Linked DNA regions of Lonchura striata. The protein of the gene in region 1 interacts with the protein of each later gene in a biochemical or structural test. Links are inferred from orthologs where the notes say so. Each region holds a gene or a part of one and is shown in the gene's direction. Other genes may lie near its edges.

Region 1 (6,829 bases):
TGGCCATACTAATTACTGTAAATTCTTGCCATGTGATGATGTCTGCTGTCATTTTTTTCTTGGTGTTCTTGTGTTGATTGACATTGTGTGTGAATCTAGGGAATGGTTTTTGAAGTCTCCTGTTCTGAGTTCATTATACCTCTCCAGTTACTGTGTGGGACATCATCTGCAACACATCCACTGCCACTGCCAGTTTGAGAAGTCCACGTTGTCAGCTGGCTCCAGTGGGACTTAGGGGTTCACCAGGTAGCTGGCATGAAGTCAATCCCCCCATGTCCTGCTGCCCAGCCTGTGGCCAAATTGTGATTGCCTCAAAACATAAGAAGCCTGTCAGCATTCTTGCTCCTTGTAGTGTGGTGCCAGCTGACCAGGTGAAGTTTCTAAAGCAGAAAGAGCCATTTTTAAAGTGGCAGCTGGACTGCTTTGAGGAGTAGGAGCTGGTGTAGGATCAGGTACAAATCTGTGGCAGGGCTCACTACTATGATCACTTGCCAGAGCAGGCAGCTGCCAACAAGTTCTGGCATAGTTTCTCAAAGTGGGAAAACATCATCTCTGTTTCACTATAGTTTATGAAACTGGGATTATTAGGCTCTGACACAGGGCTGCTTTTCCCCCCCATGTACAAATGACATGGGCTAGGATCAGGTGGCTGTTATAGAAGGTTTTCCAGGGGAAAAGCTTGTGCTGTGCCGGCGTCCCTGTTGCCAAAAGCTGCCTGGTTCTGTATTACACATCCCTCCTAAGCAGTATGTGTGCTGCAACAAGCTGCCTGTCCCTACCAGAGACCATCCCAGCAGAACATCCCAGGCACACTCCTGGCAGCAGCTGCAAAAGGGATTTTAAAGGAAATCTGAGGGCAGTGGGAAAAGGCCACTGGTCACATCCTCAGATGCATCTGAGGACTAAAGTGGCAATGGGCTGCTGCTTTGTGTAATTGTCCTGGAGTTCCTATGCCAAGGGTCATTTTGGAGCACAGCCAGGGCGTGTTAAGCATAATGCTGACTTCTATACTGACCACATCAGTCACAGTTTAGAGTACAAGCTTTTCTGTATGCTGCCTGTAGTGGTTTGATTTAAATGATATTGTTAAAGTCGTGGCACAAATGATGCTCTGGTTCACACTCAGTTTTCCCCTCCTCCAAGGAAACTACACAATTTCCTGGAAGCTGGAGCCTGTAGAAGATGATATGTAACACAGGACAATTTTGCAACACTGTCTCTAGTTGTAATGTTGCTAGCAAAAAGTAATTTTCCATTCATGGGATATTTTCTATATGTGCTGGAATTTCAAACCCACTTTTCATACTGAAGTTTAATACTGTGTTTCTGGTTCAACTGCTTTCAATCAGCAAATACACTCCTAGAACAGAAACAGAAGTGCCGGGAAGCAACATCATTCTCTGAGGTACAATAAAGCTCACCTAATTGCTTCCTGACTTGCTGATCCATCATCCTGACCCCCTCTTTGATGTTTTCTTTCTTTCTTTTTTTTTTTTTTTTTTTGTTCCCCTAGAGCATTAGTAACAAGTGAGAAATGCTGTCTCAGGGTGTTATATATGGGATTATTTCGCTATCCCCAGCACAGTGACCGTATGTAATGGGATTATCTCTTATTTAAAATAAAAAAAGACTTGGAAACATCAAATACTGTATATAAAAAAATAGTTTCTTTATAGTGGTTCCTTTAATAGTAAAAAAAGTTTATTTTTGTAATAATACATTTTTGTCAGTCAGCAAAACCAATCAAAATGCTGCAGATGTCTCCTTTCTGCTAGCTAAATTTAGATTGTTCTTCCTCTCCTTCTGTATATACATTCCTCTGACATCAAGAGGGCTATTGCCCCTTTACAGCACATTTATTGCTGTTGTAAACACTGAAAACTGATGAGGCCAGATGATGGAGGCTTCTGCCAATGTCTCTTCTTAGCCTGCTTTCATTTCAAAATATCTGAACTGGTACCAGCTGGTGCCAAAATTCTGTGATATGAAAATACAACAAGAAAGGAAGAAAATGGGCAATTGTGTGTCAGCACTAAATGTATCTTCTGCTTGCTTCAATGAGATGTGTGAACACTTTCACAGTACATAGCTATGGGAGCAGGAGAAACTCCTGACACAAATCAAAGAACAAAACATAGGACTATTGGGGAGGGAAAAGAGAGAGGCCTTTTCTAGATCTAGGTTAGATCTGTCATGGTGTAATATTCCTTAAGATTAGGTGCTTGCCAAAGTGAAGTCTGGATCTGATTTTTAGACTTCAAATTTATGAGAGTTGCCCAGGAGGCTCTTTTTAGGTTCTTTGGGTAAGTTCTTGAACATTTTCAGTTGTGCTTAAATCTAACAAGTGTAAATGGAAATGTGAGCTTGGATGAAAAACCAAAAAAACCCCCAACCAAACAACCTCCCCCCCCCCCACCCCCCCATCTGCAGTATTTGCCTTGAACTTTCAAGTCTCTTTCTGCCTCTCATACATGTATACCTACAGGGTTTGAAGTGTATCAGATCAGGGGCTCTGGTTGACTGTCCATCTCATTGAGAGATAAGTTAACATTCCCTCTTAGAGCAAGGGATGCTCCTACATCCACCAGCTTTAATATACATTTCCTTTTAGTGGGTATATAGAATATGCTGCAAAGACCATTTAGCTCATATGTCCAAGGCACCTATTTCTATGCTGTTACCTCTTTGCCATCTTAAAAGAAAACAAGATGTTTTGCCTTTGAAAATAACTTATTACCATTTCCATGCCAGTTTTGAGAAAGTGACTATCATTATTCTGACCAGTCCCTGATGTCAGCCTATACAGCCCATTTCTTAAACTTTTTATGTTTTCTCCTGTGATGTCCTTATGCTGACCTTATGTCCAAAGCTATTTATTTTTCTTCGAGTCCTTCCTCCTCATCCTGCTCTTCCAGGACGACTGAGGGAAAAGCCCCAGCACCAGGTGGGTGGCAGTGCTCTGTGTGGTACTGACTGCGGAGGCCGGTGAGGCCAGCGAGGTCCCTCAGCCCTCCTGCCTGTCCCAGGCCCTGCGAAAGGCGGCCCCGGGCTCCCCGCGGCCGGGCACGGCTCCACCTGCGCTTCCTCGCGGCAGGAGCCGCTCCGTGCCCGGCACTCCCACGGCACCATGGCGGTGCTTCGGTGCGAGTGGCCCGGAAACTCCCGCACTCCCGGGACAGGCGATCCCGCAGGTACCCGGCGCACACCTGGAGCGCTCCCGCCCTCCCGCAGCCCACGCCGGGCGCCACCGCCGGGGACGGCGGCGGCGATGTGGTGCAGGGGCGCTCGGGGCGGGTTCCGCCGGGGCCGGTTCTCACGGCGCTGCCGCCGCCGTGCCGGTGCCGGTGCCGGTGGCGGTGGCGGGCGCGGCGGGGCGGGGCGGGGCGGGGCGGCCCCTTTAAGGCGGGGAGCGCTCACCTGCCTCCTCCCCCCCCGCCGCCAAGGTGCCGGCCCCGCGCCGGGCCCTGATTGGGCGCCCGCCGGGCCCGGTCACGTGGGGGGGGTGCGCTCCCCCAGCCTCCAGGCCGCCATTTTGGTTGGAAAGTTTGGAATTTCCGAGCGGTGCGGGCGGGAGGTGGCGGGAGCGTCCCGGCCCCGTCCGCCCCGGCCCCGGCCCGCCGCGCCGCCTGCCCCGCGCTGTCCCGCCCGGCCCGGCCCGGCCCGGCTCGCCCCGCATCGCGCCGCGGCGGCGCCGGCGGGAGCCCCGCGCGGAGCCGCTCGCTCGCCGGGCGGCGGGGCCGGTCCGGCGGGGCGGCCGCCGCCACCCCCCGCGCCCGGCCGGCAGGGGGCGCCGCCCCCCGCGCCGCCCCGGGCCGCGCTCCGAGTGCGCGCGGCGGAGCCCCGGGGCAGCCCCGGGCGGGACAGCGCGGGGCGCGATGCCCGTCCGCAAGCAAGGTGAGCTCCGCGCCCGGGCCGCGGCCGCCGGGGCCGCCGGAGCCGCCGGCTGGCGGCCGCTGCCGCGGCGGGACGGGCGGGGGGCGGCTGGCGGGAGCCGCGGGGCTGCGGGCGTTGCGAGCGCGCCGGGGGCACCGTCCCGCCCGCGCTCTCCCGGCTGCGAACAAAGGAGCTCCGCGCCGGCCGGGGCGGTCCCGGCCGCCGGGGCTTGTTGCATCCCCGGGGCTCCTGCCCGGTGCGCCCCGGACAGTGTGCCTGCTCTCCGCTTGCAGATACCCAGCGAGCCCTGCGCCTCCTGGAGGAATACCGCTCCAAGCTGAGCCAGGCGGAGGATCGGCAGCTGCGGAACTCCATCGAGCGTGTCATCAGCATCTTCCAAAGTAACCTTTTCCAGGCTTTGATAGGTAAACGTTGGCTTCTTTCAGTTCGTGCGCAAGCCGGTCGGTTCTTGCTGATGTTGTCGCTTGTGTTGTTAAGAGCAAAAGGTGTTTTACCCGTAAGTTAAAAGCCATGTGCTTGTCGTTGTGTTTTTGTTTTGCATAGTAACACACGTGTTGTTACAGATCAACAGTTCACTTGTTACACGTACTTTCTTTATTTGAGGTTTTTAACTGGTCTAAACTGCTTAAAACTCTGGAATAGTTCTTAATTCTGTGACATGTTGTCCTAGATTTCTTGAGATTGTTTCTCCATGCATCTTTGTTCACCTGATAAATTTCTAAGGAGGGTGTGTTTTTTTTTCTGTCTGTATGTAACAGGTTAGTGAATGAATTGAAATGTTTTTAGTCTAAGGAAGCCGCAATTCCGGTTGAAGATTCTCTAAAAACAACACAAAGTGTATAACTGAAGTGCAAATTTAACCTAAAGTAAATGAGAGGAAACCTCTAATGCTTCAGGGAGTACTAGAGTATTCTCCTTTGTTGCATATAAAAGTATAGAGAAAGCACTTTTAGATCTCAGTTTACAGTCCTTATAGTGCTTGACTTGATATGTTCCCATAAGTTCATAGAAGAAGTCGCATGTAATTTTGAATTTCCTGCCGGTCTGGTTGAAAAAAAAAAACCCTGAACATAAATAGAACTTGCAGAATCCTGTCTTTATTTGGAAACTTCTGCAGAGAAACAGTGAGAAGTGGTTTCTTCTTGATTGATTGTCACTATCTTTATGACAGTCAATGTTAGCTTACCCTCAAGAATAAAAGTTGTTCTGTATCCTTGTCTTTTAATAGTAACCACTGTCTGAATCGGTGGGACTAATGGCAAACATTGTAGCTATATTTGTTACTTGACTTACTACATGGCTACTGTGCTAGGGTGCACATCTTCCTTCACAGGCCTGCAGCTTCTTCCAACCTGTGTTCTGGTGAAAGCACAGGGACAGGAAAAGCATAAACATGCGTTGCTGCTGAATGCTTTCTTCTGGAGTGTTTATTTTATCATGTGTAGATTTTCAGAAGAGAGTGGTTGTGATGTTTTTTTTCCTTAACATGTAGCTTCCTGTGGGGTAGTTGTGAAAATAGGTCACTTAAAAGACTTTTCCTTATAGGAACTCTGCATTTCTCTTCACTAGACAGTTGATGCTAATCAACTCCATGATGAAGAGTTAACATAATCCTTGTGGGACCATGTGAACGGATTCACTCTTTGGCAGATCAGAATGTTGAAATCTTGTGTCAAATATTTAATGTACAGCAGCAGCACTTTTTATTTTCACCCAGAAAACTTCAGTGTTGACTGCCATTTTTCTTGTTCTGGGTGTGTGTATGTATGAAGGTTTTTTATTTTAAAACTCTTCAAGGTCCATGCAGTACTCTGTTTTCTCCCCTTCATTGAAAAGATACCAATCTGTTAGACTTAGATATTCAAATTGCAAGATGTATTTTTTTCCCCTCCATATATAAATGTTCATTGTTTATAATTCTACACCTAGTAGTAGTAGTGGACTTGAAAGAGCAGGCAGCCTCATGTCTGCAGGAGCAGAAAGGAGGAATGGGTTGTTGCCTGGGTGGACTGTGTCACTTGTTTTCTGGACTTGTAAGAAGCTGCACATTGCAACCACAGGACCCTAGTTCTTGTTGAGTTCATCTGTGCATGCACAGCAGGTGCTTCTTGGGCATGTTGCATTAACTTTGCATTTCCTGGGTCCCTGTGTGATAGTTTATTAGATTGCATACATATGTTCCCAAACCATCTGGCAGAAGGCTGGTACTTGCCAAGCAATTTATGCTCTCAACTTGGGTCTTTCTCCTTTAACCTGTTACTTTCTGTGCAAATGTCAAGGGAGTTCTTGTCCCTGACAGGCTGCTCCTGGCTGTTGTTTTCCTGGAAGCACCTTCTTTTATGGTGTGATTACTGCATGATGGGGGTAAAAAAGAGTGGGGAGGCTCGCTGGAAAGGCTGTGATCTGGAGGATGGCTTCAGTTACTGGGAAGGCCTTAAGCTGGCTCCTTCTTGTCCTGTTTCCATGAAGATCTGGGAGCAGGCTGGATGAAATGTTCAGTTGTGCTGGGGGTTAGACTTACCTGGAATTCTCTGTTGGTTATTGCTTTATGGCTCAATTTGAAGTGTGCATTTTATAGAAGTTGTGATGTGCTCCCAACTGAAATAGCCAAATGATGTTCTCAATGTGGCTCAACTATACTGAGTTATTTCTCTTGTAGATCCTTCTTCCAGAAAGTGTGCTACTTTTAGTTTCTGTTTTTTTTTTTTTTTTTTTTTTTTTTTTTTTTTTTTAATAGAATAACTCTAAAAAAAAATCCCCACCAAACTTCATCCATTTAGTTTCTCCTTTTTCTGCCAAGTTACTGCACTATATCCAAGACTTGTTGGCCCATAGTAGGTAGGTTTGTGAAGGTTGTAGTCAGGATCTGCTGTCAACTTCATGCATCTTTTTTAGTATAATTTTTGACTTGGCAATCAAATACTGTTCTTTCAAG
Region 2 (7,330 bases), on another chromosome or scaffold:
TCCGCAGTCACTGGGCAAGGAGAAAACCTCCCCAAAATCCCCGTGCAGGAACCTGCTCCTTATGCAACCCGTGCCCTGAGCGCCAACCGAAAGGAAAAGCTTGAACACGAGAGAAGCTGAACTCCTGACGACACCCAAACGCTCAAACCCGCAGGAACTCAGCGTTTGCTTTCCCTGAGGCGAGGACTCCTCACGCCGGGCCCGCAGCGGCTCCGCTCTCCCCGTTCAGGCGCAGAAGGGAAACCAAAAGCGGCAGCGGCGCTGCTTTCCGTTCCGCCCCGAGGGCAAACCGAGGCACTGCCGGGAAAGCCTGGCCTGCCCCGGGAGCCCCTGCAGCGCGGGGATTCCCCCCGGTGCCGGGCGGCCCCGTCACGGCTGCCCCGGGCCGGGCCGGGCCGCGCCGCCCGTGACCTTCCCGCCGCCCGGCTGGTGCGGCGCGGCGGGGCCGCTCCGCCGCCGTGCCGCCGGGTCACTCACCGTGCGGCGGCTCTCCGGGACGCGGGGCGGGGCGAGCCGCAGGAGGAGGACGGAGAGGAGGAGGAAGAGCGGCGGGAGAAGCGGAGCGAACGCCGGCGGCGGCGCCCAGGGCCCGGCAGCGGCGGCGGCGCGTCCGGCGCTTCCTCCGTCCGGGCGGCGCTCGCCGCCCCGCCCAAAGGTTCCGGCCGGCGGCGGCCCGCGCGAAGGTTCCGCCCACCGGATGCGGGGCCGGGATCGGCCGGGATCGACCGGGAAGGGCCGGGATCGACCGGGAAGGGCCGGGAAGGGCCGGGATCAGCACCGAGCGGCTCCACCGGCACCCCCGGGCACGGCTCTCCCGGCTGGAACAGCGGGAGCTCCGCTCCATCCCCACTGTGAAAAATGCATGTTTTATGATTGGCTTTTCGCAAATTATACAATATTATATGTGTAATGTTAGACAGTTTTGCTGTTTTAATTCTCTTAAGTAGTGTGTTAAATGTAGTTTTAGGTTGCAACACTATGTAAAAATAGAAACTGCGATAAAGGATTTGTTGCAATCTCAAGCAGGCGGATGAGATAATCAAGAAACTCTTCACACAGAGATGTCAGCGAAAGAGACCCATAAAGAGTTACAGCCTCCTTATTGAAAAAGACATTCTTCCACCTTCTCTCTGTCTTTATGGAACCACCAGGACTAAGGGGAATAAGTTGACAAAAACTAGAAAAGTTCTTAATTTGCAAGGAATTTATGCATCAATTATGAGATATATGAATATGCAACAGGCTATTGCTTTAAAGGTTATTCCTTTGTTCACAAGGGATGCTTTTCCTTAGTATCCAAGAACATCCGGACCTCCGTAATTCTTTGCTTTTTATTGTCTTGTAATTGTCCTGACTCTCGATTTTATTACTCTAATTGTATTACTATTTTTATAACCATTTTAGTATTATTATTAAACTTTTAAAATTTTAAGAACCAAGTGATTGGCGTTTTTCACACCGCTAACACGTAACATTTGTGTTCATAACGTATACATCGTGTGAAGAGAAATATAAAATTATAAATATAAAGCAACACATATATGCATATATAGGCATATTTCATATAGTTATATATTTTATACATACACATGTGTACATAACCGATATAAAACGTGTCTCACGTATTCCCAACATACACATAGTGAAAGAACATCCAGGAAAAAGGTGGAAATGACGAGATCTAAGAGCCGTAATTAACCCGGAGTTTTGGCAGTTTCTCCTCAGCCCTTCTCTCCAGCCAAGGTTTTCCAAAGACAGGACAAGGGGAAATGGCCTCAGGCTGTGCCAGGGGAGGTTCAGGTGGAACATCAGCAGGAATTTCTTCACGGAAGAAATTATTTCGATTTGATCAGGCAAGTCCTTCCCTTTCACGCTGCTCCTGCAGGCTTTGATGGTAAAAAAAGATTATAATCTTCTGGGGGTTTTTGTTTTTCAGTTCGTGTGGACCATTGTGCTCATTCATTCCTGGAGGAAAATATTTAGGACCCTTCTGGTTTTCTTCCCACTCCTGGGAAAAAAGTGACATCTGTTTTGGTGCAATTAAGGAGAAACGCAAACACACACACAGGAGGAAAAGCAGCTCGAAACTTACGGTTGTGGTGGCAACCCCTGAAAGAAATCCCATGGAAAAATACATCTCCAAGACGTGGGGAAGTGCAGTTTTTCAGGGTGGTGGGGATGCAGGAGGTGTGGATTGGATTGGGCTCCAGTTTACCCAGATATTGAGGGATTGTGCCCAGGGTCGTGACTGATTTCCTTCCCTGAGTTCACGTGGGTTTTCCATGCATAGCTCCAGTGCAATGGGCTCTCTGGAAAAGGAATGCACTGGGAAGTATGGGGGAAAAGTGTTGGTGGCAGCTCTGTCCCCAAGCCCTTGGCATGTTGGAACACTTCCCACCTGAAAACAGAGCCAGGAGGTGGGAACACAAGTTAAAACTCAGACACAGAACAAGCTGGGGTGGCTGGGAACCTCCACCCAGCTCATTCCACCCTGTGCCACCTTCCACTCCATCCCACCTTGCTCCAGTCTGGCCCTGGACACTTCCACTCTCTCAGTTTGGGGTTTGCAGCTGGAGGGAAGGAGGAATGTAGAAATCCAGGGGGCTGACAGGGATCTCTGTGCCCACAAAGTGCTCCTGGAGGCCAGGCTTGGCACGAGGATAAGTGGATGCAGACCAGCCCCAAATATATTTGGCCTGAAAACCAGGAGGAGGTTCTGGGAATAGTGGTGGTAAAACATCTCAAGATGCAACTTGATACGTTGCTGAAAGGAATTATATAAGAGTATTTGCAAAGGCTGGAGGCTGCAGCAGCCTGGGAAATCCCTCCACCTGATGTTCCACTTTATTTTGAGTCCTTAAAGGTCATTTTCCTGCAAAACATTAAATTCCCAAAATTTACAGTTACAGTTCTCAGCTTAGAGTGCAAAGAGCCTTGTACAATGGGGTTTCTCCCCTAATGTTTTTAGACAGTTATAAAGACTGCTTTAGACATTTGTAGACAGGGTTTTCTCCCTGCCAGGATAACTGTGATCACTGTGGGAAGGAGAATGGACAGAAAGCTCCATGGAAATACCACGGGCTGCTGGGCCAGCCAGCCTGACCTGGGGGGACTGGCATGCCCCTGTCCCCGAGCTAGGCTACCCCGAGGATATCAGGAGGAATTTCCCCATGGAAAGGGTGCTCAGGCCTTGGCAGGGGCTGCCCAGGGAGCTTTGGGGTGCCCATCCCTGGAGGTGGCACTCAGTGCTCTGGGCTGGGGACAAGGTGGGCACTGGGCACAGCTGGGACTCCACGGGCTGGCAGGGATTTTCCAGCCTCAATGACTCTGCCATTCCGAGGGCAGCAGGTGGCCCAAAGCCCCCTTCCCTCCGTGCCCGGTGGCTGCAGGGGGCGACAGGCGCTCGCTCACCGCCGCTTCCCCCGGGCTGCGTAAGGGGAGGACGACAAGCCCCTTCAAGACGCCGGGCTGAGCACCCCCCCGTTCCTTTTCCCCGCGGGGCCGCACCGAGCCCGTTCTTCCCCCTGCCTTCTTCCCGGCCAGCCCGGCCGAGGAGGGCGGGGAGGCGAGGGGCGGCAGTCCCGGCTCGGGGGGCTCGGCCCCTCACGGCCCCTCACGGCCCCTCACGGCCACTTCCGCCCGCGGGGGAGGCGCCGCCGCCAGCGCCCACGTGACCCAACGCAGCACCGCGCCGCCTCACCTTACCGCCCGTATCCTTCCGCTCGCCGCTCCCCCCTCCCCCGCCCACTCCGTGCGGCGAGGGGAGCCGGCGGGCAGAGGGGTACGGACGGCGCCCGCACCGCGATCCGCTCCCCCGGTGCCCCCGCTCCGCCGCGTGTCCGCTTCTCCGGCGGCGGGGTGGGAGGGACTACTTTGTGTGTTGGCGGATGCGTCGCGTGGGCGTGGCGGCGCCGCCCGCCGTCCCTCTCGGAAGCCGCGGCCATGATGGGCGCCCCGCGCCGGCGAGCGCTGCGGGCCGGGGGATGAGCGCGGCCGTGCCGCCCTGAGGAGCCGCCGCCGGGAAGAGCCGAGGGAGCGACCGCCCGGCCCCCGGGGCGGGGAGCGGAGCGGGGCCGGGCCGGGGGCGCGCCCCGCGCCGCTGTCACCATTGCCGGGGCCCGGAGCGCCGCAGAGCTGCTCCCCCCGCCGCCGCCGCGCTCGCCCCAAACACGGCGGCGGCGGCGGCACCGCCCGCAGGGGCTCGGCGCGGCTCCCGACGCGCTCGGAGGAGGAGGAGGAGAAGGAGGAGGAGGAGGGAGCGGCAGCCGGTGCCGCCGCCGGGAGCCGGGCCCGCCCGGGGCTGAGCCGCCGGAGCATCAGCGCCCGGGGCCGCCCGGTGGTGCCTCGCGGCCGCCGCCCGGGCCCTGCGCGCTGCCCCGGAGCGGCCCCCGGCTGCCAGACATGACCGCCATCATCAAAGAGATCGTCAGCAGGAACAAAAGGCGATACCAGGAGGATGGCTTCGACCTGGACCTGACCTGTATCCTCCTCCCGCTCCTGCTCCCGCACGTCCCGCGATTGCATCAGACCCGCGCGGCGTTACCTAACGCGCTGCCCCCGGCCGCTCCGCCGCCGGGGCTCGCCCGGGCCGCCGCGCCCTCCCCCGCCGCCGCCGCCGCCTCGGCCGCCTTTTGTCCGGGCCCGGCAGATTAACGGGAGCTCCAGGATTAACGCCAGCGCTCCTTGCCGGCCGGCCCGCGGCCCCCCCGAGCCGCCGAGGGGCCGTGCCCCCCCGGCCCCGAGCCCCTGGCCGCTCCGGAGCAGCCGCTTATCTCCGGCTCTGCTGCTGGCTTTTGGGCTCACGCAGCAAATGCGCCCGACCCGACGTGATTTGCGTGCACAGCGCTTTCTAGATAGATATTTTTTTAATTTAGTAACTCGTCTTAAGTTGCGATTATAATCGTGGCAAGGCCTGTGGCTTTCCTCGGGTTGCTTCAGTCGAAGCCTGTGTCCTCTGCCCTGATTTCCAGCCCTCCACTAAGGCAGAGCTGTACCTTAGGATACAGCAAGGCTCTCCATGACAAGAGGTGGCAATCACTCCTTCTAAATTTAAAAAAAAAAAAAACAAAAACCAACCAGAACCCACCATTTTTTTCCCCGGTGAGCTGCACGAGGATGTGTCACAAACGAGAGCGCGTCGGGTCTCATCGAGGAGGATTGTATAGAATACTTATTCTGGAATAAGTAATTAGCGTGCAATTACGGCTAATGAGGCAAAAGCCGGTGTGTAGTTTTAGTGGCCTTTGGAACAGATGTGTTGGAGCGGAATCAGGCAGATGTTTAGCTTGGAATGCCCTGCAGCGTTCATGGTGGGTAGGGGCTCTGCTGGCGCCAGGGTCTTTCTCCGTGCTGGTGAAAGATTGGTGCTGTGGGAGAGGTTTTGGGGCAAGAACTTTGCTTAGAAGTTGGGAAAGTGAGTACTGACAGTAGTGCTCGGAGCTGGACTTCTCCCTGTGGAGAGATGTTTTCCGTTCTGCAACGGGATTAGGTGGAAATTTATTGGGTTTTGGAGCAATTACAGTCTGTCTGAGCAAGTGCTCCAAATAAATCCAGTTTTAGAGCGGGATAAAAGCTGTAGCTAGTACAGAGCTCTTGCATTGGGCCTTGGCCTAAAAATTTTGGTGGCTTTAAAACAACCTGAAATGTTCTGGAGTTTAGCAAGTGGCTGCTTGGCTTTTAGTTAAAAACCCAGAAGCTCTGGCTTATTATTCCTGCGTTATGTTTGTGATAGAAATACTTTCAGGCCTGGATTTTTAGGTGTTTCCACTTGGTGATTTTGTTGGCTTTATGGAAAAAGTTAAGTGGTAGCAAAACCAAAAGGTTTTGCCTTCACAGTTGAAGAGTTTGGTATTTCAGGAATCTTTGCCCAGATGTGCCTTTGGTAGGGAGAGAGATTTTGTCCCAAACGCATCTTTTTAACTGGTCATATGCTCCCAGCAAGAAAATTAGTGAATGCTGAACCTCGACTTTCTTGCTCAAGATTGCCTAATAATGTGACAAATGGAACTGATGGCTTATTTTTAATTTTTTTTATTAGAATATTGTGTTAAGGCAGGCCATTACACTGGGCTTAGGCTGGTATTTCTAAAAGGAGCAGCTGGCTGCAGTTCTGCCGTGAAATTTGTGGAAAAGATGGTGTGGTTTCTTTAATGATAAAAAAATATCATAGGAAGAAATGGAATTTTTTTTGTAGCTGCACATTTTGAACAGATAATTAATGAATGAAGACTTCTGCCTGTGCAGTGGCTTTGCTTGAAGGCTGATGTTGCTGCGGAAGTGAAAGTTGAATTTTTTTCATCACTTTGTGCAGGATTCTTTTTGCAAGGCTCCAATGGAGTTGTTACCCACCATTCCTGGTAGCTGGGAAATTGCCTGTGTATTCCTTATACACATGGCCATGGATTTAGCTCTCCAACCGTGTCATATAAAGGGGAAAAAAGAGAAAACCTGGAGCCCAAGTGAGCTGTTCAACAGGGCATGGCAGGAGGACCAGGTGTTAGAGAAGCCTGGTTAGTTCAGGGTAGCTGCCTCTGTCCAGCTAAAAGGGAGAGGCAGCCAGGAGTTCAGCATTTGGCTGGGAATGGGAAATGGAGGTCTGGGTTCCTCCTGCAGCTCCAGAACACTCAGCAGCTGCTGCTCACCTGGGCTTTGGGAGCTGGAGAGTGAAGGAACTGCAGTGAGTCCAGGTGAGGTGCCTGTGTTCTGTGCTCTGCCCTTTCTCCTGCCCCTTCCTGTCTCAGTGTCCCCTGTGGCCAGAGACTTTTGGGCATGGATATTATCCAGAGGCAGGCTGGATGAGGTGCTGGAGTGCCAAAATCCTTGGTTGGGCTGTGCCAGATCCTGTTAAAAGTGATATTGATATATGTGCAGTACAGGACATTGTGCTTGGAACCCTCAGTTCCTGAGGAGCTGCTTAAGAATCCTTGTTTCAGCAAAGTGAGACAGCATCTTCCCAAAATCATTGCAGAGCATGAAAATGGGCCTGTGTGTCTTTAAAAACCACACTGCTGCTGCTTGTCTTCTAATCAGATGTTTTCTCTGAGCAGTATTTATGCACATCTTGGAAAAAAATTTTGAACTTGGAAGAAAAGGTTTTAAAGGTGGAGACATTAAATCAGCTGTTTAATGCTTCAGATGTTTTTCTGGTTTATTTGGGTTTTAATTAATTTCTGCAGTACTGTATACTTTTTGGTGCACATGGGTGAGAAGGAAGGTTTGGATTAATGTCTTTTCTTTGATGGTTGCATTTCTTGATGCTGCAAGCACCAGAATGTTTTCTGAGGCACTCTGTGTGTTACTTCTGAAATTGTGCAGTTTAGTGATGTCCCCT
Region 3 (7,074 bases), on another chromosome or scaffold:
TATTGTATTTACACTGCCACTGAAAAAAAAAAGTGTAAATTACTTGAATAAGGATCCAAGATATTTTTCAGTAAGTTGACAACTGAGATAAACCAAAATTTAATACCTGAAAGTAGTATTTAAGTCTTCTCCTCTACAGGAGTGCAAACGAAAAAAAATTCCATAGGTCAGTAGTGTAATACAACCTTTCACTGTCTTCTGAGATAAGACTTTGCCATTATGAACTTTTAAAAGGGAATGAATACTAAAATCTCACCAGATCTCAAGCATAGAAGCCTCTTTATGCTTCAGTGTCCCAGTCTTTCAACATGCTATTATTTATGGAATGAAAAAAGGCAGAAGAAATTGAAATCTTCTGAAAAATACATTATCCTTGATACATGCTAATGCCATGGCTGCCACTGGAGGTGAAAATGTGGTTAGAAGGCTTGTTTTACTTTAAACATACTCCTGCAAAAATTAATGCCTGAAAACTCTGACACTCAAAACAGCTTTCTTTGAAACTGAAAATAGTATGGGTTAATAATACATACTTAAGAACATAGTATAATTTTCAACATTACACTCAAGTTTCAAACAGTGCTTGTTTTGACTTCCTTTTCCTACTTTAAAAGTTGCATTTATGAAGGTACTACTGGATCATGTGTAAGATTCTCCATGCATAGCTCAGTGTCAGGTCTCCCCTTTATTTGTCAACCATCATACAGGATTGCACAATGCTTTTACTCCAGTAGAATATGGGCTGGAAACATTACTTCCTTCAAACACATATAAAGTGAGATTTAGCATCTGAACACCAAAAAAAAAAAGCCATTTTTCTGAATCGGTGTCTTCAAATAAATCTTTTTGTCAGAAGAGCTCTCATATGTCTGTAATCACAAATACAAAATCCACCCATCATCCAGGAAGTTTTCTTTACAAAAAATTCTATTATATATTTTTTGTACCAATTCTGTCCATTTCTATTCAGAGAAATATCAGAAACTTTAGATTAGGACTTACCCATTTTTGCTAAATACCCGTATCCATGCCTGTATGTTTGGTCCCAGCAAACACAAGCATTGTAAAGTAGTGTATGTAGACAGAAGAACTGCAAACAAAAATGTCTCAGTCACTAACCTACAAAAAGAAAAAGAATATTACAAAATTAAGTGAGGTGGTTTTTCTAAAAGTTCCAAGATTTAGGAAGAACAAAGTCCCTCTCATTCAACTTGTGAAAGCATGTTCGCTTTCTTAAACTTCATATAAAGGAATAAAATATTTTTTTCTTACTCTGTAGAATAGTAAAGGAAGCTTGAAAGAGTTCTGCTGTTATCTCAAGAGTGAGATGTAGTAATTTTTTGAAATGGCTGAGACCTGTAATATTTTTAAAAAACCACAGGTGTACTTCACATAGATCATTAGTTCTAAACTGAAGTATTCTTGGATATTTACCAATTTAATGATTCCATTTTTCCAGTTGTAACAGCAACCATGAAACCAAACTACATTAAACTACTGTTAGTCAACAACTTAGTATATCTTTCAAAACCCAGGTTGCTTCACACTTCTTTCATTAAACTTTCAAAAAAGTTAAAACACTAACATCAAAAGGATGAAAGACAAGCCATGTGGTTTAGAATCATATAGGGAAAATGACTAAATAAAGCTACAAAAAATATTTGTGCCCATATGTCGAACATAAAAATTAAAGAAGCTGTTTGTAACTGTATTACAGTTTTTATTTATAGAAGTCTCATTTAAAAGCTGGCTTCCAAACAAAACAACTGAACAAGCAAAAAAAACCCAAAAAAAACCCCCAAAAAAACCAACCACCAACCCAAAACCAAGAGAAAGCTGAAACAGCCACCTTTCTTCCCCCAGCTAGGAGCTTATCCCTTAACTTCTAGTGTACGAGAAAATACACAAGTATTTATACCAACATCTGCAGGGAGAGCTGCCCCTTAGAATATTTAGAGAAAGAGAGGGTCTTTTGACTTACTCTATGAGAGGTGCTCCATAAAGAACAATAATCGCATGAAATAGTATGCAAGACATGAAAAAGTATATACAGCATTTTAGAAATCTGGATATCTAAAAAAGAGCAATGAAATATCAGAATAATGCTTCAAAACAGAACATAAGTAACACACACCCTCTAAATCTTTATCAAGTGCATTGTATTCTGATTAGTACTTTAATTTCAGCTGAAGCACAATATAATAGCATGGCATATTTCAAAACAGTTTTCCATATATTAGTACTTGAAATAATTAATTTAAAATCATCACAATCCACCTACAATTTTTTTTTTCACGCATCCCATTAAAACAGGGAAAACATACAAAAAATATAACCAGAAATTACAAGATAAGCAGAAGTAATTTTATTGGACATTTTTACACTTCTGTTTTACATCTGTCATATCCATTCATTAAAAAGCAACTCTCACAAAAAGTGAAAAAAATTTAAAAGCAAGAAAACATACAATATATTAAAAGTCTGCTAAACAAAGATTCAAAATTACATTAACTAAAACTACATTTTGAACTTGGCATCTTAAATTCTGAATATATTTGAGAAATATCCATAACTTTCTGTAAGTTATATATATACACTTTTCTATGAACTTAACAGTTTCTGGGTACTCACTGTATCACGTAGAGGCAAAAACACTTTATACACAGTTCTGGTGAGGTCTGTTTTGATCAGGTCTGTTCTGAATCTGTAACTTCCCTTATTTTTCTATATTTACTCCTACCTATTTTTTCTTCCTAGGATAAAATCTCACCTAGAACATGATGTGTGCTTCATTTTTAAATTATGGATGGTTAAAATACTTGCTTTCCATCATGGTTTTGTGCATTTCATATCCTCCTCAGTCAGCAAAACTATACACAAGCTTTGCACACAAAGAGATGCTGGCAGGGAAGATCACTTAAACATTTAAGAACCACCTCAGAGCACTACATCTTGCCTGGCTCAGCATGTCAGGAGTGAGACTATCCCCACCCGATTTCAAAACCCTGGGGTATTCCTCCACTGCTGGGCAAGTCGTGTGCTGCTCCAAAACCACTCTGTTCCAAAGTATTTCATTGGGATTCACACCTTTAACACTCCCCGTTGCAAACTAACTACAAAAAGCTTCTCCCAAATTAAGATCTGTATGCAAATTTCATCATACGAGGAAATGCAGGCATTTTAATACCTTTCCATGTAATTTTTTTTTCAGTTGTTGAAATGTAGCATAGTATCTCTTTTATGTGTCAGATTCTGAATTTATTTTTTTTCCTCTTAAAGTTATTACAAACTTACAACTCCACATGAGGAACGTGTGATGACATTTCTTCCTGGTATATCCACTTACCAAGAAGATGAGTCAGGCCTGGACTACAAAATTAGTTCTGTGCCATTTAATTTTGCCAGGTTTTGCCACCACGCAAATTCCTGGGACAATAAACAATATTGCATTGGCAAGAATCAGGAAAGCATAGACTCACTCATCTGAACAGGTTACTTACAGGTAGGGAAAGTTTAACATCATGAAAATACTGAAAAATTTGTTTCAAGAGATGCTACACTCAACTCACTGATAGAAAATGAGAATTCACCATCAAAAATCGGTTGGTTTTTTTTCATTTGATTATTTTAAATGAGATAGAGAATTTGCTTCCCCTCTGGATTGACTGGCAACAACGTAAGAATTTTTTTTAAAAGTCTTACCTTGTGAGCAAAGGAACGTCTCTTAGGAGACTGGTTTGGTTTAAGGACTAAGTGCAAGATTATATCGAGGGCAGCAACACAGACAGAACAAACACACAGCCAGGTGAGGTGCGTTCCCAGGACGCTGAATCCGTCCAGGAGGAAAGCCGGGGCCAGGGCGGCCAGGACGACGGCCAGAGCGCGGAGCAGGTTGGCAGCCAGCAGCCGCCCGACCTCCGCCCCGCTCATGGCGCCGGGCAGCGCCGCAGCATCGCCCCGGCCCGGGACGGAGCTCCGGGCCCGGCGGCGGGAGAAGGGGAGGGTGCTGGGGCAGGAAGCAGCGCCCGTTCGAAAAGCCAAACCCCGCCCGGCAGCGGAAGGCGGCGGGGCCCGGCCGGCGGCACCTCCGGGGCGGTGCCGGAAGCGGCGGCGGAGGGGCGCCATGGTGTGCGACAAGTGTGAGTACGGGGCGGAGGGGATCCAGGGCTGCCCGACCGCCTGGGCCTGCCCGAGGGCATCCAGGGCTGCCCTGAGCGGATCCAGGGCTGCCCTGAGCGGATCCAGGGCTGCCCTGAGCGGAGCGGCAGCCGCGGGTCCCGGGCTGCTCAGGGCAGGCCGCGGGGGGCGGTCCCGGCAGGGCCCTGTGTGAGCTGTGGTTCTCCCCTATGTGAGCTGTCCTTCTCCTCTGTGTGAGCTGTGGTTCTCCCCTGTGTGAGCTGTCCTTCTCCCCTGTGTGAGCTGTCCTTCTCGCCTGTGTGAGCTGTCCTTCTCGCCTGTGTGAGCTGTCCTTCTCGCCTGTGTGAGCAGTCCTTCTCCCCTGTGTGAGCTGTCCTTCTCCCCTGTGTGAGCAGTCCTTCTCCCCTGTGTGAGCTGTCCTTCTCCCCTGTGTGAGCTGTCCTTCTCGCCTGTGTGAGCTGTCCTTCTCCCCTGTGTGAGCAGTCCTTCTCCCCTGTGTGAGCTGTGGTTCTCCCCTGTGTGAGCTGTCCTTCTCCCCTGTGTGAGCTGTGGTTCTCCCCTATGTGAGCTGTGGTTCTCCCCTGTGTGAGCTGTCCTTCTCCCCTGTGTGAGCTGTCCTTCTCCCCTGTGTGAGCTGTGGTTCTCCCCTGTTGAGCAGTCCTTCTCCCCTGTGTGAGCTGTCCTTCTCCCCTGTGTGAGCTGTCCTTCTCCTCTGTGTGAGCTGTCCTTCTCCCCTGTGTGAGCAGTCCTTCTCCCCTGTGTGAGCAGTCCTTCTCCCCTGTGTGAGCTGTCCTTCTCCTCTGTGTGAGCTGTCCTTCTCCTCTGTGTGAGCTGTCCTTCTCCCCTGTGTGAGCTGTCCTTCTCCCCTGTGTGAGCTGTCCTTCTCCTCTGTGTGAGCTGTCCTTCTCCCCTGTGTGAGCAGTCCTTCTCCCCTGTGTGAGCTGTGGTTCTCCCCTGTTGAGCAGTCCTTCTCCCCTGTGTGAGCAGTCCTTCTCCCCTGTGTGAGCAGTCCTTCTCCCCTGTGTGAGCTGTCCTTCTCCCCTGTGTGAGCTGTCCTTCTCCTCTGTGTGAGCAGTCCTTCTCCCCTGTGTGAGCTGTCCTTCTCCCCTGTGTGAGCTGTGGTTCTCCCCTGTGTGAGCTGTGGTTCTCCCCTGTGTGAGCTGTCCTTCTCCTCTGTGTGAGCTGTCCTTCTCCGCCTGTGGCACATATCGATGTGCATCGTTTAAATTATTCTGTCCTGTATCATCACTAGCGTGAGCAGCAAGGCCAGGGAAGGGATTGTCCCACTGTGCTCGGCACTGGTGAAGCCGCACCTCAGGTGCTCTGTTCAGCTCTGGGCACCTCGCTACAAAAAGACATTGAGGTGGCAAAGCAAGGCCACAGAAGGGCAGCAGTGCTGGTGAAGGGTCTGGAACAGAAGATGTGATGAGGAGCAGCCGAGGTTGTAGGGGTTTTTTAGTCTGAAAAGAAGGAGACTCAGGGATGGCCTCATCACCCTCCTCAAGTCCCTGAAAGGAGGTTGTAGGCAGGTGGGGACGGGCCTCTTCTGCCAGGCTACCAGTGACAGGACAAGAGGACTCAGTCTTAAACTGGACCAGGGCGCGTTTAGGTTGGACATTCAGAATTCTTTCCTAGTCATGGAGACTTGGAATGGGCTGCCCAGGAAGGTGGTGGAGTCACCATCCCTGAAGGTGCTTAAAGAAAGACTGGATGTGGCACTCGGTGCCAAGGTCGAGGTACATGCTGGTAATTGGTCACAGGTTGGACTTGACAAATTCAGAGGGCTTTTCCAACGTAATTGACTCCGTGATTCTTAGCTTTTTCCTTTGTAATGTTTCCTTATGTAGGTGAGAAGAAGCTTGGAACAGTGATCACTCCTGATACATGGAAAGATGGTGCAAGAAACACTACAGGTAACCTCAGCAAGGTTTAGCAGCTTGGTTTTGAGGTATTATAAAGCCAGCTGTGCACCTGAGCTATGTTAACATCTTAAGACCAAAACTTTATATTACTAATCATGTTAAATATTAAGTCATGTACTTTCCCTCCCATGCTGATTTAATGCATTGGGAATTTATTTGTCCAGAACTCTTTGGTATTGAATTGGTCTGGTTTTGTTTTCTGGAGTTTTTTTCTTTCTTGCATGGGAGGACAATACATAGAGTATTTAAACAGAGCATAAAGTGTTCTGTTACCCTGTCTCCAATGCTGTGCTGAATATTTAATCTCTCTTCGTGACTTTATTTGCATATGTGTAAAAGTTGTAAATGAGGATTTTTAAAGTATGCTTGGAATGTTGGAATGGGGTTATTGATTTTTTTTTTTTTTTTAGAAAGCGGTGGTCGCAAATTAAATGAAAACAAGGCATTGACCTCAAAGAAGGCAAGGTTAGTCCTTAATACTGATTTTGGCCAAGAACATCATTTAGCAAACTAACTGAGACCTGTTTCCTACATAGCTGGGCAGCTACTCCAAACTTGTCCAAATACACTTAATAAATTAAAATTGCAGACTTAAGGTATTTGATTTGTCGGTAAAAATATGTCCATACATATTTCATGGGTGCTTTCTGCTCAGTCATGGAGTATTTTGCTGCAGTTCTCACTGGAATTGCTAGGATTTGATGCTTTTGTAGGAGAGAAGCTGAGAATACTTATTTTCTGTGCTAATATTGCCAGGATAATCTCTTGAGCATTTCCTGCATGTCTGCAGGACTTTCTGTTTGCAAGGGGGCAAGATGCTGCTGGGAGGTGTTTAACTTCAAAGTCATTTAGTATCTTAATAAAAATAAATATTTTTTGTTCTGCTTTCATGAAGTTGTCTGTGGTGGAAGAAATGTCTCTCAATAGGGAAAGTGGGAGCTTTTCTGCATACTTTGTGTAGCCTGTTAGAAATAATTCTTGCATGTCTCTTTTCTAAATTACAGTTTTTGCTGGA
Region 4 (7,623 bases), on another chromosome or scaffold:
TATATGAAAATAAATACGTCAATATCAATAGCTAGAGTCATAATTTAGACAGCACTGTGGCAGAATTCTAGGTTGTGCTCTTGGCGTTTGTTTTTTTTTTGACGTGGTATACCAGATGAAAGCAAGAGGGAAGGAGGGTCAGGATCCTGTGCTGCAGGATCTGACACAGCAAGCTCACCCTAAGGGTCAGGAGGGAAACAACCCTTTCAAGGACAAAATGTTGGCAGCAAAAGAAACTTTGACAGAGGTGGGAAGCAGTCAATACAAAAGTTACTTCCTTCCTTTCTTCCTGTCACATGTGCTCCTGGATCATAACAAGAAAACAGACCTCCACTTTACCCACCTTTGGGACCTGATCAAAGATGAATCTGTCCAAAAAGTACCATACAGAGCTGCCAGCACAAATTAGTATCCTTTGCTACATCTGTAAATTACTGACTTGGCCCAAGAATCCCTGACAGATGAGCAGTGTTAAAGATTTCGCCCTCATGAAAAGAGAATTGTGTTGTCGATTGAGTAAACGATGTCTTTTGTTAGCAGCAGAAAGGGATTCAACCTTGACAAGATCAGTCTCCCTAGGAAAGAATTAATAGCAACACTTCCATTTGCTTTAAGAGCAGCTGCTTTTTTCTCACACATTGCTGCTACTGCTGATAGTGTTTATGGATGCGAACGCTGGTTCTTAGAAAATCAGCACACTAGCACAAGTGAGAGTACCAAGGCTCATTAATCTATGACTCTGGGTAAGGGGTTTTAAGGCACTAGTACCAAGAGATTTAGAAAGCTACATTAGTGTTGCTGCCACTGCCCTTCTTTCTGCTGTAAAATAAAATATTGAACTGATACACCTAAAAGGGTCTAAGTTTTCACTACAGTGACAGAATATATCGTGAGCTTTCTGAACACTGATCTTCCAACCAATCTGAGACTTAATCCATTAGACCAGAAATTTCAATTTTGCTCAATTTCAATGAGCAAAACTCTTCAATTAGGCTTCAATCTTGCATACATACAAATGCTTCATTTTGCACTCCCATAGTCCCCCAGCTCCAATTATTGTCACATATTAAATGAGTAAAGCTATCTATCAGTGATATCCATTAATGCTCTTTTCATACGATTTTTGCATTGAGGTTGGGAAATTCTTTAAGTTTTTTTTTTTTTTTACTCTGTAGACTATAGCGTCTCATACTGCAACAATCTGTGACAGTTTAAAAATTAAAATCCTTCTGTTGTAGGAGAGGACCTTTTGGTGGATTCTGAGGAGGAAAAGGAGAGCATTAAAAGTAGTTGATTTTCATATAGGTGTCTACTACCCTCTACAATTGGCCTCTCTTCCTCCACCAACCTCCAAGAAGCAGGGATAATGGGGTAGTATATAGTTACTAGTAAGGTCTCACTTGACCTCTTGAAAAAATGTAATGTATACTTCTAATTATTTTTTAAAATAAAAAAGCACTTAGGTGTATATATTTATTTACTCCTTTCTTCTGATGGCTTAGTGACCTTGAAACATGGCAAGGCCCCCAGGAAGGCTACATGTTACAGAACTGGAACTGAAACACCCTGCTCATTGAGCAGAGAGACAAAATCAGAAAAGTTGCAAAATAGTTGGCAGTGACTCCAGTGGGGAAGGGTGGGGACAAAATAGCACAAGAATATTTTCCTATTAAAACTGAGATTTTTTTTAATTACTATTTTTTAAACTTTACTTCCTGTTGTAATAAATAGAATTAACTTACTTCCTCCATGGCAACAGATCTAAGTAGACAAGCACAGAGTATTTTTTGAAGGTGGGCATATAGAAAACTTTTTTTAAAAAATAATGTTCTAGGAATCAGCTTTTGACTATTCAGCAAGATTTTGTTTATTGACATTTAAGGTATGTTTTACACAGCCAAATTATTAATATGTGAATTAGTGTATCAAGAATAAAATGATCATATGAAAGACAGACATATAAACAGGCAGAAAGGTGGGAAGATGTTTGATTCTTCAAAGGATTTTGTATGATCTCTTTTCCTGCACGTTATCAGTGCCTGGTCTGGAGATCAGTGTCAGTCCCCTCTCCCTGCACCCAGGGCCCAGCAGCTCACCCACAGTTCAGCTCCTGACAAACAGGTCTGTGCCATTTTGTCATCTCCCAGTGACAGCTTATGGTGGCAGCTTTGCCATCAAACTCTCTCACCAGACTTCATAAATGTAGGATTTCTCAGAAAAACTATTCGATTTCTCACTATTTGCTTGTAGAGCTTCTGCTCCAGCACCAGGCTGGAGGGAAATTGTGCTCTCAGTTCCCAGAGTGATTAGAAAAAGTACTGTACCCATCCCATCTACCTCATATGCTTTGCAGCTGATGGCAACCATCCAGCACATCAAAAGCTGACTCTTAAAAAAACCCCACCACATTCTGATACATCTTAAATCTTCCCTTTATAGGATGAACATTAGCAAAGTGCAATTTTTGCACCATTAATGCATTTATTATTTTTTGTTAATGATGTCTGAAGAAGTTCCTTTTTTCTATTAACTTTACAATAAATGTATGCCAGAAGTAGAAACATCTGATAGCACTCTTTTTTAAATCCATCCTGTCAAGCACACATTGCCCAGAATAAGATATGGCTGTAGCATCTATCAGTCCCCTGGCAACAAATTGTCTTTGGGAAAACACGTCACCACGTATCCAGCTGAGCCTAGCAGGATGCAGAGACTCATGCAGTTTGTGACACTGCTCTAACATCTACCAGCTGTGGATGGACCCAAGTTCTTGACTTATTCCTTTCACAGAGATTTTGAATGGTTTATTAGACAAAGCTTCCCTTGTTACAACAGTGCTGATTTCATAGTCTTTTCAGTAAATTTACCAGCTCATCTCCTGTATGTGTGACCTGGTGGGAAAGCTGGTCTTATATTTGACCTACACAGCTACTTCATCCATCTGTAGCAAAGTATGCCTACATATTTACTGAAGGAAAAACATGGGAAAACCAGAAGTGGATAACTTTGTCCATTTAGAATGTTTTTTAAAAGTTGCTCTGTAATATTCTTAGCTTCTGCACAAGAGTGAACTTCTCTTGATGCTAAGTTAGTACTTTTATCTACTGTATCAAAATAACCTAATTTCTGCCTTGATAAAAAGCAAGCAGTAAAAAAGTACCACTTTGTCACAACTAGATCAAGGAAAAGTAGGTGAGGGATGACAAGCAAAACTAATCCTGCCTCTATTAGAAACATATAAAATGGTAATTAAAAGTAATTTAACTAATGGTCTAGTTTGAAAAAAGAGGAAGCTACTTTATCCTTCACCTTACCTGTACCACATATCACACCAGCTAACATCGGAATGGCAAACAGCATAGAAGGGATGTAACAAATTAAAAAATAATCTCCTGGATTTTTAAAAGTAAATATCTACCATTGATCTAACACTTCTCACAAAGCCTCATGTTAACTGCTAAATGTCAGAGGGTTGCTCTCCTTTCTCACTAACACAGAGATTCGAACAGGTCAGCAGAGAGCAGCACTGGAACACCTGGCAGCTGGAAGGCTCTGCTCTTCTGTACCCCGGGAGGAGCAAGGGCAGGGCAGCTCTTCCACATTTGGTAGTCAGGCACCAAAAGGGCAGGGCCCCTGGCAACTACCAAAATGGCCATGAAACTTGTCCAGATTGCCCCTTTAGAGCTAAACCACAAATTGAACTCCAGTGACAGCAAATCTGAAATTATATAACCTCAGCAACATTGCTCAGGGGTGAAGTAAAAAAAAAAAACCAAAGGCTTTACCAGACACTGGAGGACAAGAATTTTAATCATATTCACACAGAGAACACATAAAACCTATTTTAAACCTGGTCTTTGCCTTACACGTGTTGCTGGCCCAGGCCTGTTTACTACAGAGCCACTGAGAAGGTTGCTCTTGTCCATACTCCAACACTGCAATAATTTCAAGCCAGTGCTGCAACAGTTCAATTCCAGTTCACTTCATCCATGCGCAGGACCACTTGCTCTGAGCACCTGAACCAAGCGCGTGGTTTTTATTTAACTATATGAAATATTGTTGTAACTTGTAGTGTCATTCTGGGATGGTCTGGGAACCTATCAGTTCGTCTCAGGGCAGAGGCTATCCAAAAGCTCACTTTTGGTACTCCCAGCGATGGCACCTCACCGGAACCTGAGCACAAAGGCAAAACAAGGCAGGCGTGAGGGGGCCCCGTGGCGGGGAAGAGCCGGCCGGGAGGGGTTTGGTCCGCACGGGCAGCGAGAGCCCCGGCACCTGCCCCCGTGTGCGGGCTCGCTCCGCCGCCGCCGGGACGCCGCGCCCTGCGCGCCCCGCGGAGCGCAGCCCCAGGCGGCCGGGCAGCAGGGATGCAGGGCGCTGCCGGCGGGCGCGGATCCCAGCGCCGGTCCCGGGGCAGCGGCGGATCCCAGCGCCGGTCCCGGGTCAGCGGCGGATCCCAGCGCCGGTCCCGGGGCAGCCGCGGATCCCAGCGCCGGTCCCGGGGCAGCCGCGGATCCCAGCGCCGGTCCCGGGCAGCGGCGGCGGCGGGCGGTGCCGCCGGCGGGGCGCGGCGGGGCGGGCGGTGCCGCTCGCTCAGGCCCGGCCCCTCGGCGCAGCCCAGCTCGGCGGCGCCGCCGCTCCCGCTCCCCCGGCCCGGGCTCTTTGTCGGCGCGGGCCGGCGGGGGTCGGCAGCGCCATGTCCTCCCCCAAGAATGGCTTCTACCGGCAGGAGATCACCAAGACCCTCTGGGAAGTGCGGGACCGCTACCGGGACCTGCAGCCGGTGGGGTCCGGCGCCTACGGAGCCGTGTGGTGAGCGGGGCTGCGGGGACAGCCCGGGGGCGGGGGCGGCGGCCTCAGTCCCGGCCCGGGGATGCTACCGGGGCCGGCCCTCTGGCGTGTTGGTCCCTGCCAACTTTTCCCGTTTGTTGTCCGGACCCGGGCTGGCCCCGCGGGTGCAAGGGCGGCCCCGCTGTTCACCTGGCCGCCTCGGGCCGGGCTGTTCCGCCAGGGGGAGCCGAGCCGCGGGTGTTCCGTCCCTCGAGGGAGCGGAGCCCGAGCGCTGCCCCGGCCCCGGCCCGGGAGCGCTGCCCCCGCCCCGGCCCCGGGAGCGCTGCCCCGGCCCCGGGAGCGCTGCCCCGGGAGCGCTGCCCCGGCCCCGGGAGCGCTGCCCCGGGAGCGCTGCCCCGGCCCCGGGAGCGCTGCCCCGGGAGCGCTGCCCCGGCCCCGGGAGCGCTGCCCCGGGAGCGCTGCCCCGGCCCCGGCCCCGGCCCCGGGAGCGCTGCCCCCGCCCCGGCCCCGGGAGCGCTGCCCCGGGAGCGCTGCCCCGGCCCCGGGAGCGCTGCCCCGGGAGCGCTGCCCCGGCCCCGGGAGCGCTGCCCCGGCCCCGGGAGCGCTGCCCCGGGAGCGCTGCCCCGGCCCCGGCCCCGGCCCCGGGAGCGCTGCCCCCGCCCCGGCCCCGGGAGCGCTGCCCCCGCCCCGGCCCCGGGAGCGCTGCCCCGGCCCCGGGAGCGCTGCCCCGGCCCCGGGAGCGCTGCCCCGGCCCCGGGAGCGCTGCCCCGGCCGCGCTGCCGAGCCCAGCTCGCGGCACCCCGGAGCGGCTCCCTGGAGCCCGAGGTGTTTTAGCGCTTGAGGCGGGCCCCTCAAACGCAGTTTGGCTCTGCGTTGGTGGTGGGTTTGTGTGTTTAGTGGGATCTTTTTGTCTTGTTTCTCGTTTGGGAATTTTCCCCCACTCCGCAGATGTTCCTCTTTAAAGCTTTTGATAATTGTCTACATTTCATCACAGGATCTGGCAGGCTTTTAAACGATGGCTGCCTGCAGAGGTGCTCTGGGGACCCGGTCTCCCCGCTGGCGCGGGCGGCTGCGGGCCCGAGGCCCGGCAGGATGCAGCCGCTGCCCGGTGCTGGCCGCGTCTGCTGGGGTTTGCAGACAGGCTTCGGTCCTTGCTCACCGAACTCTATCTTTTCCCTTAAAGCTCAGCCGTCGATGGAAGAAGTGGTACCAAAGTGGCTATTAAGAAATTGTACCGCCCGTTTCAGTCTGAACTCTTTGCCAAACGAGCATACCGAGAACTGCGTCTCCTGAAACACATGAAACATGAAAACGTGAGTTGAGTCATTAGCTCAAAACCACAGCTTAGACACTCTAAATCAAAGAAAATATGTATATTTGGACAGGGCAGATGTGTACCTGAATGGAATTAAGGAATCTTTTAGCCTGTTTTTTTTGTCTGCCTGTTCTACAAATATCACTTCACACAAACTAGAATATCCTGTGCGAAACACCACTTAATTTCCACGTAGGAAAAATTGGGTGGGGAAGGTTAGGACTACAGTGCAATTTGCTCAGTGCTAGTGAGAGGGATTAAAGACCAGAAATTACAGTCTCTATCTTTTTTCTTTTTTTTTTTTGTTCCCCTGAGCTTTCATGAAGATGTACACATGCATATCTCTGAGGCGGGGTTAGCATTTTTCTCCTTTTTTATTTCTTTTTTTCTCCCTTTTTATCGTTTATGAAGCATTTGAAACTTTCAGGCTGATATTAATGGGAAACAGGAAAAGTCCACAAGTGGCTAAACAAATTGCTTTACTGTGAAACAGAGAATAGGTAATAGAATTCTGCACATAATTCCCATATAACATGAAAGAACAGCTGTAGAAAGAAATGTTGAAAGTGTGATTGAGAGAAAGATTCATGGTCCCAATACTGCTTAAGAGTTAGGAAAAAAATAAAGAAGTTTGTGCAAAAGCAGTTGTTACAGAGTCTCAAAGCATGGATTCCAGGTGAGAAGAGTCCCAGGGTGGATTTGGAGGGTTACCATAGTATTTTTAAGTGCTTTTCATGAAGAATGCATAGGATAAAAAACTCTTTATTTGTTTGGAGGGAATTGTTAAAATGATGCATAAGAACATAGTTTAAAATGTTAATTGATGTGGAAGATTAGAGAATACCTCCATTCAGAGTGCCTTCACAAAAAACTGAGAGATCAAAAGCATGAGAGAAAATGGTAATAACAATAACTAGACATTGCTATTTAATTTTATAATACTAATATTGTGAGTACCAACTAGGTTCTTTTGAAGAATAATTTGTAGGCTATCCTGACAGTCCAGAAGGCAAAAGAGCTTTTTGTAGGCTTAAGAAACTGTCTACTTGTTTTAATCTAAATCTTTTTATCTAAATACTTCAAAGTAACTGTCCCATAACCTCTACTCCATATGTTTAAGAGTTAATGTTTGCAGGAAACTTCTGTGTATGGGCTTTAATACTCTCAGCGTTTTCTTTACTGAACATTTGGGAGCAGAGCAGCCTGCACAGTTGCCAAGCTCCTGTGTCCAGAATTTTGAGATTATTTTTCTTCCATTTCCCAGAATAATCTGTTGGGTAGCATTTTCCACTCCTAACAGGTTTTGTACAGTGTATGCCCTGTGGAATAATACTCTAGAACTTCCCTGTGGGCTCAATTGGTAATTAAAGTGTCCTGAAGAAAATGCTCACTGGGGAACCGGAGCACAATGTGTACAAGTTACAAATCAATATATATGAAGGAAAGGAATGATTTACAATCTTAGGAAACACTGTGGGCCACAGAAAGAAGAGGTTTGTGTACTAAAGAAAGGTTTT

The links.
Region 2: the proteins of DLG1 (region 1) and PTEN form a complex in vitro, tested with the Homo sapiens proteins (2 studies listed by BioGRID and IntAct, with this or other methods). The link is inferred for Lonchura striata from reciprocal best matches to the Homo sapiens genes DLG1 and PTEN.
Region 3: the proteins of DLG1 (region 1) and CRIPT form a complex in vitro, tested with the Homo sapiens proteins (3 studies listed by BioGRID and IntAct, with this or other methods). The link is inferred for Lonchura striata from reciprocal best matches to the Homo sapiens genes DLG1 and CRIPT.
Region 4: the proteins of DLG1 (region 1) and MAPK12 interact in a test that uses a peptide from one of them, tested with the Homo sapiens proteins (2 studies listed by IntAct, with this or other methods). The link is inferred for Lonchura striata from reciprocal best matches to the Homo sapiens genes DLG1 and MAPK12.

What each region holds. Positions count from the first base shown.
Region 1 is NC_134612.1:15,040,721-15,047,549, reverse strand, and holds the start of DLG1 (disks large homolog 1), read left to right. Parts: upstream 1-3,809; 5' UTR 3,810-3,875; coding exon 3,876-3,894; intron 3,895-4,166; coding exon 4,167-4,298; intron 4,299-6,829. UniProt on the Homo sapiens protein: Essential multidomain scaffolding protein required for normal development. Recruits channels, receptors and signaling molecules to discrete plasma membrane domains in polarized cells.
Region 2 is NC_134609.1:37,601,508-37,608,837, reverse strand, and holds the start of PTEN (phosphatidylinositol 3,4,5-trisphosphate 3-phosphatase and dual-specificity protein phosphatase PTEN), read left to right. Parts: upstream 1-4,320; 5' UTR 4,321-4,401; coding exon 4,402-4,480; intron 4,481-7,330. UniProt on the Homo sapiens protein: Dual-specificity protein phosphatase, dephosphorylating tyrosine-, serine- and threonine-phosphorylated proteins.
Region 3 is NC_134605.1:16,914,683-16,921,756, forward strand, and holds the start of CRIPT (cysteine-rich PDZ-binding protein), read left to right. Parts: upstream 1-4,065; 5' UTR 4,066-4,123; coding exon 4,124-4,139; intron 4,140-5,984; coding exon 5,985-6,050; intron 6,051-6,469; coding exon 6,470-6,524; intron 6,525-7,074. Other genes in the region: PIGF (GPI ethanolamine phosphate transferase, stabilizing subunit), read right to left, coding at 1,003-1,119, 1,982-2,073, 3,703-3,930. UniProt on the Homo sapiens protein: As a component of the minor spliceosome, involved in the splicing of U12-type introns in pre-mRNAs. Involved in the cytoskeletal anchoring of DLG4 in excitatory synapses.
Region 4 is NC_134607.1:30,007,329-30,014,951, reverse strand, and holds the start of MAPK12 (mitogen-activated protein kinase 12), read left to right. Parts: upstream 1-4,609; 5' UTR 4,610-4,696; coding exon 4,697-4,812; intron 4,813-5,974; coding exon 5,975-6,104; intron 6,105-7,623. UniProt on the Homo sapiens protein: Serine/threonine kinase which acts as an essential component of the MAP kinase signal transduction pathway.